3 linked regions of the Macaca mulatta genome follow. The protein of the gene in region 3 interacts with the protein of the main gene of each other region in a biochemical or structural test. Links are inferred from orthologs where the notes say so. Each region holds a gene or a part of one and is shown on either strand. Other genes may lie near its edges.

Region 1 (4,357 bases), on a different chromosome or scaffold from region 3:
GAAATACCAATGCTCAAGCATAGAACTATGCTTTGTGCATTTTGGCCTGCAACTCTTAACATTTTTTTTTAGACAAGACATTCTTTGTGTGTGTGTGTGTCTGTGTGTGTGTGTGTGTGTGTGTGTGTAAGAAAACATTTCTCAATATCAAGAATCACCCAAAAAATTATAGATGACCTTCAGAGTAAATGCCCATGTTTTTAAAATGACGCAGAAAATATAATAAACTTGAGCACTTTGTATATCCTCTCCTGTGAACCATGGTTACATTCAATTGTACATTCACTTCACTTTTGTCCCTCCAGGCCTTATGTCGGAACGTGTAGTACTTTCACTGGTCAAATTGGCAGACCGTGTCTCTCTTGCTGTTGCCACACATCAGCTGTGCCTTTCTCTGTAGGTGGTGAACGGAAGGCAACTCAACAAAGGAACAAACTGTCTATTCCTACTGCCAAACCCTGAAAGCAAGGAGCCCACACAAAAAGATAAGAATAAATAAAACTACAGTAAAATAAAATGGAGACTGCAATATTGGAAACAACTAAAATCAGTTTCAGTAGCAGAGAAATTAACAAATAAATTATGGTGGTACATTCATATAATGGAATACTCTAAAGATATTAAAGATTCTGTTTCTAAAAACATTTTAGGGTCTAGGGGAAAACTCACAATATAATGTAATGAAAAAGCTGGATGCATAACTGTGTGTAAATTATAGATATATATGTACACATATATACATGAGGAAAAATACTAAGAGAAAATTCAATCTAAAGGTTACTAGGGGTGGAATTATATGTTTTTTATTTTTCTCTAGTTCTTTATCTTATAAATATTTTATTTAAAATGTATATTCTTATTATAATTAGAAAAAAATTAAAATCTTTTTTAGAAAAGAAAATATTTAGTTTTCCATTTAGTAGTTGAAATATTTAGTAGTTCCATTCTTCCATTTTTATGTTTGGGTTACAAATATAAAAAACCAGAGCATGCAATTCTGTATTAAAAGCAATGAAGTCTTTGGCAAAGATTTATATAAAATACTAAACTTTTTTTAAAATGCTACTAACCATGGTAAGCCTAAGTAGTGTTTTAAACTACAGTTTAAATCAAAAGTGTATAAGCACAAGTTTCTTTTTTAATCTGTCACAGAATTCTACCTCCAACATTGTAGCATAATATAATGAGTACTATATTTAGTACTTGTATTATGTTTAAAAGTATGGCTGTAGATAGGGGCATATGTAAACTATCATGATATATTATTTGTCTTTAGACAGGAAGAGTGCATTTCTCTGTCTATAGAGTATTTGGTTTTTAAAGTTAATTCAGTAACTGTTTCAAGCACAACTAAATTACAACTGAAGAGATGGTACAATAGTTAGAGAAGGGATGACACCCAGAAATGAGAATGAAAGCATAAATTTCCATATAAAAAACTCACTAACTAAAATTACAAATGCACAAACAGAAATAAAGAAATGTACAAATAAGTATTGCTTTAAAATATAATATTATTTTACATGGCATCTGTATCTGCTTCCTTTTTTATCCAGCTTCCTACACAGCTGGAATTAGCAGGCATTATCCTATGGTCAAACCTATTTCATGTTTCAAGACAACTATTAATGACTTTGTAATAAATGAGTTTAAATAGAAATTTTCAAGTGTATAAAATTGGCAAAATTGATTCCATTTAAACTTCCTTTACCCAATCCTCTAGCCCAAAAAATATATGACCAGGTACCCTAAAGAAATAAAATAGCCTGCTTTATCTTCTGCAATTATAAGTGCTGCTAACTTATTTAAGAAAAACTAATCTATCTTGCGTTGTTGCTACCACTTCTCATAAGAAAACTGCTCATAAAGAGAAAACAATTATATCAGTTATAACAAGCTGAATTCTACATGTTCCAGTTCCTGCAAAGACAAATATTAGATTGCGAGACTTACCAGATTAGTTACAGACTTACCAGATTAGTTACACACGACTTTAGGCAGCTATTTAAAACTGTACACTGCACCACAGAAATCCATAGGCAGCCAAGAGTTGCAAAATTGACAAGTTTCGGAATAAGACAGTAAATGTTCTTCATCACTCCACCAATGGCAGATTTTTAGATGGCCGGTCTTCTAATTTTCTCCATTTTGCTGTATGAATTATTTGGGCTTCATCACTTCAATTGGAGGAGTAGCTGATGGATTTTGTTTTGTTTTGCTATATTAGGATATATTTGCCTTTTGAAATAACATTTAGCCTTTTTAGTTTAGACCTTTGAATCCTTGAAAGCTTGTAACAGTTCCATAAGAGTTATTTCATAATAGCTTCCTTTTACTCCCATAAAGAAAGTCACCCACTGATTAAAGGTTAGTTCTTAGAAGAGCACTTCACGTGGAAATTAAACAAAGAAAACGAATTGTATTTCAGCAAGGGTGTGACACATCCATAGTCTGAAACTGGAACATTTCAGTGGGTCGTCCACCACGTTACTTCTCTGAGCTCTTTTCAGCTCTGCAGGGAATTGGGTTTTGACCACGTATGCTTTAGCAAACAGTAGCACTACTATAATAAAGAATTATTGAAAAAATAGAGGCACCCAAATCAAGCAATGCAACTGAAAGAGAAAACAGAACTCAGAAGCCAAATACATATTTTTAAATTTAAGAGCAAACAAAGCTGAAATTAATAGAAAAATAGCCTGGGAGTGAGTTAAAAACAAGGAAGTTTGTTAGAGCACTCTCAGAACTTTACTACATATTAACTAAAATACTGCCTTATCAGGTCTATTGAGAAAGCTGAAACTAGTTACCAGAAACCTAAGATATGTTCAAGTGTCTGCCTTGAGAAGGAAACATTGTACAAGATTTCTTTCTTTCTTTCTCTTTCTTTCTTTCTTTTCCTTCCTTCCTTCCTTCCTTCCTTGCTTCCTTCCTTCCTTCCTTCCTTTCTTCTTTCTTCTTTCTCTTTTTCTCTCTCTCTTTCTCTCTTTCTTTCTCTCTTTCTTTCTGAGTCTCCCTCTGTCGCCCAGGCTAGAGTGCAGTGGCTGATCACGGCTCACTGCAACCCCTGCCTCCCAGGTTCAAGCAATTCTCCTGCCTCAGCCTCCAAGTAGCTGGGACTACCAGGCACACACCACCACGTCAAGCTAAGTTTTGTATTTTTAGTAGAGACGAGGTTTCACCATGTTGGCCAGAATGGTATCTATCTCTTCATCTCGTGATCCGCCCACCTCTGCCTCCCAAAGTACTGCGATTACAGGCGTGAGTCACCACGGTACACCAGGCCAACCTCCTTGTTTGCTTAAATAAATTATACTAAATGTAACTTAAACTTTTCTTAATGATATAAGGTTCTCATTATGAGTAACACATGCATGAGATTTTGTTTTGAGCTGAACGTCTTTTTTATTGGATTTTTGTTTGTTTTAATTTTGATGGGTACATAGTAGGTGCATGTATTTATGGGGCACAGGAGATGTTCTGAAACATCCATGTGCGATGTGAAATGAGCACATCATGAAGAATGGGGTGTCCATCCCCTCAAGCATTTATCCACTGAGTTGCAAACAATCCAAGTATGCTCTAAGTCATTTTAATATGTACAGTGATTATTGTCTATAGTCACCCGTTGTGCTATCAAATAGTAGGTCTTATTTACTCTTTCTGCATTTTTTGTACCCGTTAACTGTCCCCATCTCCCATTCCCCACTCCACCCACCACTACCCTTCCCAGCTCTGGCAACCATCCTTATACTCTCTTTGTCCATGAATTCAATTGTTTTGATTTTTAGATCCCACAAAAAAGTGAAAACATGCAATGTTTGCCTTTCGGTGCCTAGCTCAATTCACTTAACGTAATAATCTGCAGTTCCATCCATGTTGTTGGAAATGACTGAATATGGCTGAGTAGTTCTCCGTTGTGTATATGTACTACATTTTCTTTATCCATTCATCTATTGATGCACACTTAGGTTGCTTCCAAATCTTAGCTATTGTAAACAGTGCTGCAATAAACATTGGCATGCAGGTATTTATTTGATATACTGATTTTCTTTCTTTTAGGCATATACCCAGCAGTAGAATTGCTAGATCATACGGTAGCTTAATTTTTAGTTTTTTGAGGAACCTCCAAACTGTTCTCCATAGTGGTTGTATTAATTTACATTCTCATCAAAAATGTACAAGGGTTTCCTTTTCTCCACATCACCACCAGCATTTGTTATAGCCCGTCTTTTGGATATAAGCCACTTTAACTGGGTAAGATGATATCCCATTGTAGTTTTGATTTGCATTTTCTGATGATTAATGATGTTAAACGCTTTTCATATGCCTGTTTGTCATTCGTATGTCTTCTTTT
Region 2 (4,502 bases), on a different chromosome or scaffold from region 3:
GCCCAGATAGCTGGACTGGTGAATTCTACCAAATATTTGAAGAAGAAATAATACCAGTTCTTCTCTAGGAAATACTTCCCAACTCATTTTCTGAAGCCGGTATTACCCGATCCCATAACCACACAAAGACATCACAAGAAAAGAAAATTACAGACCAGTAACTTTTATGAAAATGAATATATGTATTACATACATATAAATATTCTACAAAATACTAGAAAACTGGATCCAGCAACAAAAAACTTTTGTTTTCCAAAGAACAACATCAAGAAAGTAAAAGGACAACCCACAGAATAGGAGAAAATATTTGTAAATCATATACTTGTATCTACAATATATAAATATCTCTTACAGTGGCTCATGCATGTAATCCCAGTGCTTTGGAAGCCAAGACAGGAGGATCTCTTGAGGCCAGGAGCTTGAGACCAGCCTCGGAAACATAGTGAGACCCCTACTAAAAATTAAAAAAAAAAATTAGCCGGGCGTGGTGTTGCATGCCTGTGGTCCTATCTACTCAGGAGGCTGAGATGGGAGGATTGCTTGAGCCCAGGAATTTGAGGTTACAGTCAGCTATGATCACACCATTGCACTCCAGCCTGAGTGGCAGAGTAAGATCCTATCTCTACAAAATTAAAAAAAAATTAAGCCAGGCATGGTGGCACACGCTTATAGTCCTAGCTACTTGGAAGGCTGAGGCAGGGGGATCACTTGAGGCCAGGACTTCTAGACTAGCCTGGGCAACATAGTGAGACCTTGTTGCTAAGACAAAAAAAAAATAGATTACATTAATAATAAAAGTAGGCAAAGAACTTGAATAGACATTCCTCCAAAGAAGATATACAAGTGGCCAATAAGCACATGAAAAGATGCTTAATGTCACTAGTAATTAGGGAAATAAAAATCAAAACGGCTGAGTACAGTGGCACATGCCTGTAAACCCAGCACTTTGGGAGGCCGAGGTGCGAGGATCATTTGAGCCCAGGAGTTCAAGACTAGCCTGGGCAACACGGTGAGACCCTATCTCTACAAACTAAAAAAAAAAAAAAAAGGGCCTGAGCCAGGTGTGGTGGCACACACTTTTGGTCCCAGCTGCTCAGGAGGCTGAGATGAGAGGATTGTTAGAGCCCAAGAGTTTGAGGCTGCAGTGAGCCTCGGCAACAGACTGAGACCCTGTCCAAAAAAAAAAAAAATCAGAACCACCATGAGATGCCACTTCACAGACACTAGGACGGATGACTAGAATCTAAAAGACAAATGTTGGCAAGGATGTGGAGAAACTGGAACCCTCAGACATTGCTGATGGGAATGTAAAATGGTGCAGCTGCTTTGCAAAACAATCTGGCAGTTCCTCAGAAAGTTAAACATGGAATTACCATATGATCTAGCAATTCTACTCGTAGGTACACACTCAAGAGAAATGAAAAACATATGTCTACACAAAAACTTGCACATGAATGTCCAGAACAGTATTACCCGTAATAGCCAGAAAGCCCAAATGTCCATCAACTGATGAATGGATAAATAAAATATGGTATATCCATATGATAGAATATTATTTGGCAAGAAAAAAAGAATGAAATATTGATCCATGCTACAACATGAGTGAATCTTGAAAACATTATGCTAAGTGAAAGAAGTCAGCCGCAAAAGAGTACACTTGAATGATTTCATTTCTATTAAATGCCCAGAATAGGCAAATCTATAGAAACAGAAACTAGATTAGTTGCCGCCTAGGTCTAGGGGAGGGAAGTTTAGGGGGAAGTGGGGAGTAACTGTAATGGGTAAAGTTTCTTTGTAGGGTAATGAAAATGTTCTAAATTTGACTGTGGTGACGATTGTACAACTCTGTGACTCTACTAAAAACCACCGAATTGTATACTTTAAATAGATAAATTGTATGCTATGTGAATTTTATCTCAGTAAAGCTGTGATACACATTTTTCAAATAAACTACACTGGGGGCCACTGTTCACCTATCAGCTCGGCAAATTGCACTTATGCAATTTATCCCCAAATTTGGTAACATCCTATGCTGGTGAGAGTGAGGAGAACAGAGGGTGTGGGGACACCAGCGCAATCTCTCTGAAGGACAATTTGGCAATACCTATCACAATTACACACCCACTGACCCTGCAGTGTGGAATTAATCCTAAAAGAACACACAAACACAAGGCATATGATTGAGGATATTCATTTGTGGAATTGCCTAGAACAAGCAAAAGACTGGAAACAACCAAAATATCTGTCCTTAGTTAAGTACAGTGTGACCACCGTACATGCAGTGGAATACTACGCAACCATGAACAAGAAAAATGCAGCACAAATAAATGACCTCTGAGGTACACTGTCAAGAGAAAAAAGTCAGTTGAGGACAGGGTAGACTGTGTGCTATCATTTATCTAAAAAAGAGAAAAAAATTTCCGGCTGGGGGTGATGGCTCACACCTATAATCCCAGTACTTTGGGAGGCTAAGACAGGAGGACTGCTTGAGCCCAGACATTCAAGACCAGCCTAGGCAACATAGTGAGACTCTGCTTCTACAAAAAAATAAATAATTAGCTGGGTGTGGTGCATTTCCCTGCAGTCCCAGCTCCTTGGGACGCTGAGGTGGGAGGATCGTTTGAGCCCAGGAGTTCGAGGCCTCAGTAAGCATGATTGTGACACTGCACTACAGCCTGGGCAACAGAGTAAGACCCTAAGAAAAAAACAAAATTCTTTGCAAATGTGTAATATTGAGTCAAGTGCGGAAGCTAAAAATATCAACACCTGGCATTCCCATCATTATTGAAATTCACATTATGCTAAAAAAATTGTTAATATACATGCTTATATATGCCTGGATCTCCCTGGAAGGATACACCAGAAATTTTTTCAAGTGGTTGACTCTGGCAAGGAGACCTGGGTGTGAGAGAGACTTACTTTTCCCTGTCGTGTGTGTGTGTATGTGTGTGTGTGTGTGTGTGTGTGTGTGTGTGTGATGTTTTTTCTTTCCTTTTTAAAGAAAAAACACAAACTTACCTGGTTTCAAATCCTGGCTCTGTCTCTCATAGCTGGCCAAGTTGCTTCACTTCTCTGAGCCTCTGTTCTCTGTTCTGTAAAGGGAGGGATAATAGGATTAATATCCACCTTGCAAGGCTGGTGTGGAAGATGAAATAAGACAGCACAAGCTCAGGGCCCCCCCCCCGCTGCCTGGCTCCTAGTAAGTGCACAGTCCCTGTTTGCCATTCATCTGTAACTATGGACACTGCAGTGCACTGTAACAGGGACCACCAGAGAGCCTCAGAGCAAGTGTTCCAAGGACCAGCATCCCCTCTGGCTGGGAGAAACTGGGAAAGGCTTCCTGGGGGAGGCAGCATTTGCGAAGGGCTTCGAGGACAAGAAGGATTTCCACAAGTAGAGATGAATGGGGGCCACATTCTTGGCAAAGGGGGCCACACAAGCAAAAGGCCAGGAGTGGGAAAGCCCTGGACAGTCACTCAATGGTGCACTGCCAGGCTCCTCCAACAAGGCTTAGCTGAGCACCTACTGATGCCATAGTGGGAAAGACAGTCAAAAGCCATGTAGCTGGGCTGGCCGAGGGAGGAACTACAGAAAGTATCGTGACAGGGATAACGAGGGGCCAGGTCCACAGGCTCATAGAGCAGGCCGGGAAATGGAGGCTCAGAAAGGGAGAGGGGCCATCCAAGATCACACAGCAGGTTCCCAATTTCTGAACATAGCCTCTCTCAGCTTCACCCTCTCCTTGTCCTCTAGACCTGGAGAAGAGAAAGTCCAGAGGGGTCCTCCGGCCATGCCCTCATCAGGGGGTGGACACAGAGGCCAAATAAACCAGGGGCCCCACAAGGAGGAGGGATGGTTGATCCTCAGAGGATAACAACAGCTACAGCGTCACCATCACGGTGTTGCTGGGTGGCGCGCACCATGCTTAGGAACTCAGTGAACCACCCCAGCCCTCTGTGGCGGGCCCTGATTTGCAGATGAGGAAACTGAAGCACAGAGAGGTGGAGCTGCTTGCCTGATGTCACACAGCTCATAAGACACAGCACTGGGAGGCAAACCCAGACTATCTGGGTTCCACCGTCTCGTACCCCAGAGCCCATTCCTTAAAGGAGGCCCCAGCAGGGCATCCTATCAGTGATCACATCCGCTCAGAAGGGCCCAGGGTGGAAGCTGTTCTCAGCCAGTCCTGGAATGCCTCCTGATAACAGTGCCCCAGTGGCGGGGGAAAGGTGGGAGGCGGGCCAGGGAAGAGCAGCAGTGGGTGTAGTGTCAGGCCTGTGCGGGGATGAAGGGGGAAGGCGGCGGGCAGGGACTTGGCCCTTTGGCAGCCATCCTCTCTCTGACGGGAGAGCAGAAGGGCTTGTCAGGCACCTGCCCAAGCCAGGTGGGGGCATCATGGTTAAGGGGACCCTGCTGCCACCACAGGAGGACTCTGGGCACATGGACTGAAGTTTCCTTCAGTACCATGGAGATGCCCATAGTCACCCTCAGGTAGTTGCAAA
Region 3 (3,822 bases):
CGGTCACTTGTCTCTGTGAGCTCCTCCAGGCACAGGGGCACAGACTGGGTGTTAGCTGTGTCTGTGACTACAGCCTGGTTTGCACGGCTTCGGGGACAACGCCTGCCTCGGCAATGTTTGTTGAATGACAAATGGATGTACCAGTAAAGCGGCTGGCCAGGTCGCACCACCTGTTGGTGGCTGATCTGAGACGAGAGCCCAGGTCTCCTGCCTCTCTGCCAGCTCATCTATCCATCCAACAAACGTTTGGGCCGGTGCCAGGCACTCAGAACCTAGAGCGGGACCTGGGATGGGCCACAGCGCCCTGCTCTGTGCCTCATCCCCACCCGACCCTCCCTTTCCAGAACAAATGTGTCCCATACTGGCCCGAGGTGGGCACTCAGCGCGTTTATGGGCCCTACTCTGTGACCAACTGCGGGGAGCATGACACGACCGAATACAAACTCCGCACCTTACACGTCTCCCCACTGGACAATGTGAGCGGCCCCCACTCCCTGCCCTGCTCCGGGAGTCCCTCCCGGACTTGTTCTCCTCTCTGGTGGGGTAGGGCGAGACAGGTGGGGTGTTCCGAGGGAGCAGGGGGCACTGACCCTGTGTCCTCGGCCCAGGGGGACCTCATTCGGGAGATCTGGCATTACCAGTACCTGAGCTGGCCCGACCATGGGGTCCCCAGTGAGCCTGGGGGTGTCCTCAGCTTCCTGGACCAGATCAACCAGCGGCAGGAAAGTCTGCCTCATGCAGGGCCCATCATCGTGCACTGCAGGTGAGGATGATAATCCTGATGGTAGTAGTGGCCGCTGAGAAGTAAATACTGCTAAGTGCCATGAGCGTTATAAGCAACATACACGTTAGCTCACACGATTAGTGCCTTCCGCTCACTCCCAGCTTCTTCTGGGTCCCCTCATGGCTCCAGACCCCTGGGTGGAACGTGGCTGGAACCAGCCCCACTTTGGCCCTCTGCCTGTGGTTGTCTTCCTCAGAGCCCTCCCCAGATGTACCATCTCGCCCAACCCTGCCAAATACAGAGGAGGAACCTGGGACCCAGTTGCTGGCCAGGCCCAAGCTAGGCAGGGCAAGGCCGGGCAGGCACCCACAGTAGGCCTGGGTCCTGGCTGCTCCGCTTTCTCTCCAGGTCTCACTCCGTTGGTTTCTTCTCGCCTCCCAGGAACATCCATGGGGCTTGTGCTCCCCGTTCCTCCTCTTTTTCCATCGGTAGACCCAGGGCTTTGGCTTGTTCCTGACTCCGCCCTCTCTCCCAGCTTCCCCAGGCGGCGCCCCATCCTGGCCCCCAGGGCTGTGTGGGGATGGACAATGCCTTTTTGGGGGTGCACATAGCTCCTCTATCTACCCTCATGTTTGTGATCAGGAGACCCTGGTAAGGTGCAGAGGTGGGGGCCTCAAGGAGGAGCAGGGGTCCCACAGATGAGCCCACTGAGCCCGCCTGGCCTGGGTGGATGAGAGGCAGCGGGTGCAGGGCCCCTCCGCTTACCAGCTGCGTGATCTTGGACAAATTACTTAACTTTTCTAACCCTCAGCTTCCTCCTCTGTAAAATCAGGACCTCAGGGTTGTAGTGAGAACTCAATGAGACCCTGTCGTTGCGGCTGGAATTCCGTCAGCCCTCAAACACGGGGCGCTGTTACTGGTTTAGTAACTCACGTCAGGCAGAGAATGGGGGAAATGAGAACCTGCCTTGCTCTGGTCCCTTCCCACTCCCACCGTGGACCCCAGGCCTGCGACAGTCTCTGGCTTCCTCCTCTTCCCCCAGCAGCTGTTTGTCCTGGGACAAGTCAGCTGAATCTAGAGGTGCCCCCGATGGGCTGTCTCGGGGACCCGGCTCTGTCCTCTGCTCTCTCAGAGACAGGCCCATCCCCGAGAGCTACCCTCCTGCTCACCCGCCACACACACATCACACACTTCTTGGAAGCCCCGTGGCCTTTATTTAGACGTTACAGGAAGGAAGTGGGTGTGGGGGGTTATTTTTGACAATCTGGGTTTGAAATTAGACAGTGCGACTCAGGGCATCAGCCTGATGGGCCCAGCCGAGGGTGGGCCTGGGGTCTCCCTGGCGTCTGTTTGCCCAGGGGTGGGAAAGAAGAGAAGCTTCCTACGGCCCTGCTCCTCCGAGCGCCCTGACCCGGCGCGCCTGCACCCTGCTGTCTCAGGGGTGTCCTTTTCCTGATGTCAGGGTTTGAAGAAAAACGAAGTGAACCGTGCTGAGAGACGCACCAGATCTCCTGCAGGGAGAGGCGGGGAGGGCTCAGGGTACCTGGGAGCCGACAGGATAGTGGTGGGATTTGGGGGTCCCAGGTCTTCCGGGGTGGGGGCAGCCACTCACCAGGAGTGGGGAGTCGGCGCGAGGAGTGGAGGAGGGAAGGATGGTGGCAGCCGGGGAGACGGCGTCAACACCACAGAGCCAGAGTGGAGCGCGCCCATGCAGAGCTGGGCAAACGTCCGTCGTCACTTGCCCGGTGACCCTGGGCACATTCCCTCCCATCACTGGAGGCTCAGGCTGCTCCTGTGGTGCCTGGGGCTGGAGCTGAGCACTGGGTACCCCCCTTCCCGGGAGGGCTTGACTGGCCTCTGACCGTACCCCCGTCTTTCCCCAGCGCCGGCATTGGCCGCACGGGCACCATCATTGTCATCGACATGCTCATGGAGAACATCTCCACCAAGGGTGAGGGGCACCTGGGGGCTTGGGAGTGGGGCTGAGCAGCCTCTCGGTGTCTGCCTATGCCTGGACCTGAGGTTTGACTGCCCCCCACCCAGGCTTGGACTGTGACATTGACATCCAGAAGACCATCCAGATGGTGCGGGCGCAGCGCTCAGGCATGGTGCAGACAGAGGCGCAGTACAAGTTCATCTACGTGGCCATTGCCCAGTTCATTGAAACCACCAAGAAGAAGCTGGAGGTCCTGCAGGTGTGTGCAGAGCAGGGCCTGGGGGGCTGCAGTGCGGGGCAGGCGCCACCTAGCCGTGCTGGGACCACCACCCTCCCACCATCCCTCTGTCCATAGTCGCAGAAGGGCCAGGAGTCGGAGTATGGGAACATCACCTACCCCCCAGCCATGAAGAACGCCCATGCCAAGGCCTCCCGCACCTCGTCCAAGTGAGTGGCCCTGACTGCCACTGCCCGGCATCCACCCCTTTGTCCTGCCCAACCCGATCCTCACTTTCTGGAGAGGACAAGTGTCACAACTGGGGGGGCCTGGCTTCAAGTTCAGGCTTGGGTCTCACCCTTTCTATTCATAAGCATTTCCCGAGTGCCCACCACGTGTGGGCCTCTGCTAGGTACCAGCCGTGCACTCCTGTATGAGATGTAGCCTCTGTCCTCTAGGAGCTTGGAGTCTAGTGCGGGGACAGTGGCTGGGTCGCCTGTGAGATGGGGTGGCCAGAGGGGGCTGCCAGTGCCGAGTCCCCCGCGCTGTCTCCTGACCTGCACCCACTGCCTGTACTTGCCCCCCTGCACCCCGCTGCAGACACAAGGAGGATGTGTATGAGAACCTGCACAGTAAGAACAAGAGGGAGGAGAAAGTGAAGAAGCAGCGGTCAGCAGACAAGGAGAAGAGCAAGGGTTCCCTCAAGAGGAAGTGAGCGGCGCTGTCCTCAGGTGGCCATGGTACAGTTCTTCTGCCTGGGTGTCCTCCCGGCCCTGCCCCGTGTCCTTGGCTCCACTGCCTTCCCTGGGTGGATGGGGTGGCCGTAGCCTCACTCTGTGCTTCCCAGATGCCCCAGACCTTCTTGTTCCCCCTCCAGGTTCCAGCCACCCTCTCACTCCCTCACTCGCTTCTCTTGGCAGCCTCAGCCCTGAACCTGCGGAAGCC

The links. The genes of interacting proteins can lie anywhere in the genome.
Region 1: of the proteins of PTPN6 (region 3) and ROS1, one has a biochemical effect on the other in vitro, tested with the Homo sapiens proteins (2 studies listed by BioGRID and IntAct). The link is inferred for Macaca mulatta from reciprocal best matches to the Homo sapiens genes PTPN6 and ROS1.
Region 2: of the proteins of PTPN6 (region 3) and SRC, one has a biochemical effect on the other in vitro, tested with the Homo sapiens proteins (2 studies listed by BioGRID). The link is inferred for Macaca mulatta from reciprocal best matches to the Homo sapiens genes PTPN6 and SRC.

What each region holds. Positions count from the first base shown.
Region 1 is NC_133409.1:22,413,931-22,418,287, forward strand, and holds the start of ROS1 (proto-oncogene tyrosine-protein kinase ROS), read right to left. Parts: upstream 3,096-4,357; 5' UTR 2,097-3,095; coding exon 1,974-2,096; intron 1-1,973. UniProt on the Homo sapiens protein: Receptor tyrosine kinase (RTK) that plays a role in epithelial cell differentiation and regionalization of the proximal epididymal epithelium. NELL2 is an endogenous ligand for ROS1.
Region 2 is NC_133415.1:90,223,922-90,228,423, reverse strand, and holds the start of SRC (proto-oncogene tyrosine-protein kinase Src), read right to left. Parts: upstream 3,096-4,502; 5' UTR 3,019-3,095; intron 1-3,018. UniProt on the Homo sapiens protein: Non-receptor protein tyrosine kinase which is activated following engagement of many different classes of cellular receptors including immune response receptors, integrins and other adhesion receptors, receptor protein tyrosine kinases, G protein-coupled receptors as well as cytokine receptors.
Region 3 is NC_133416.1:7,930,610-7,934,431, forward strand, and holds part of PTPN6 (tyrosine-protein phosphatase non-receptor type 6), read left to right. Parts: intron 1-344; coding exon 345-476; intron 477-608; coding exon 609-763; intron 764-2,607; coding exon 2,608-2,675; intron 2,676-2,767; coding exon 2,768-2,919; intron 2,920-3,015; coding exon 3,016-3,107; intron 3,108-3,477; coding exon 3,478-3,592; 3' UTR 3,593-3,617; intron 3,618-3,754; 3' UTR 3,755-3,822. UniProt on the Homo sapiens protein: Tyrosine phosphatase enzyme that plays important roles in controlling immune signaling pathways and fundamental physiological processes such as hematopoiesis.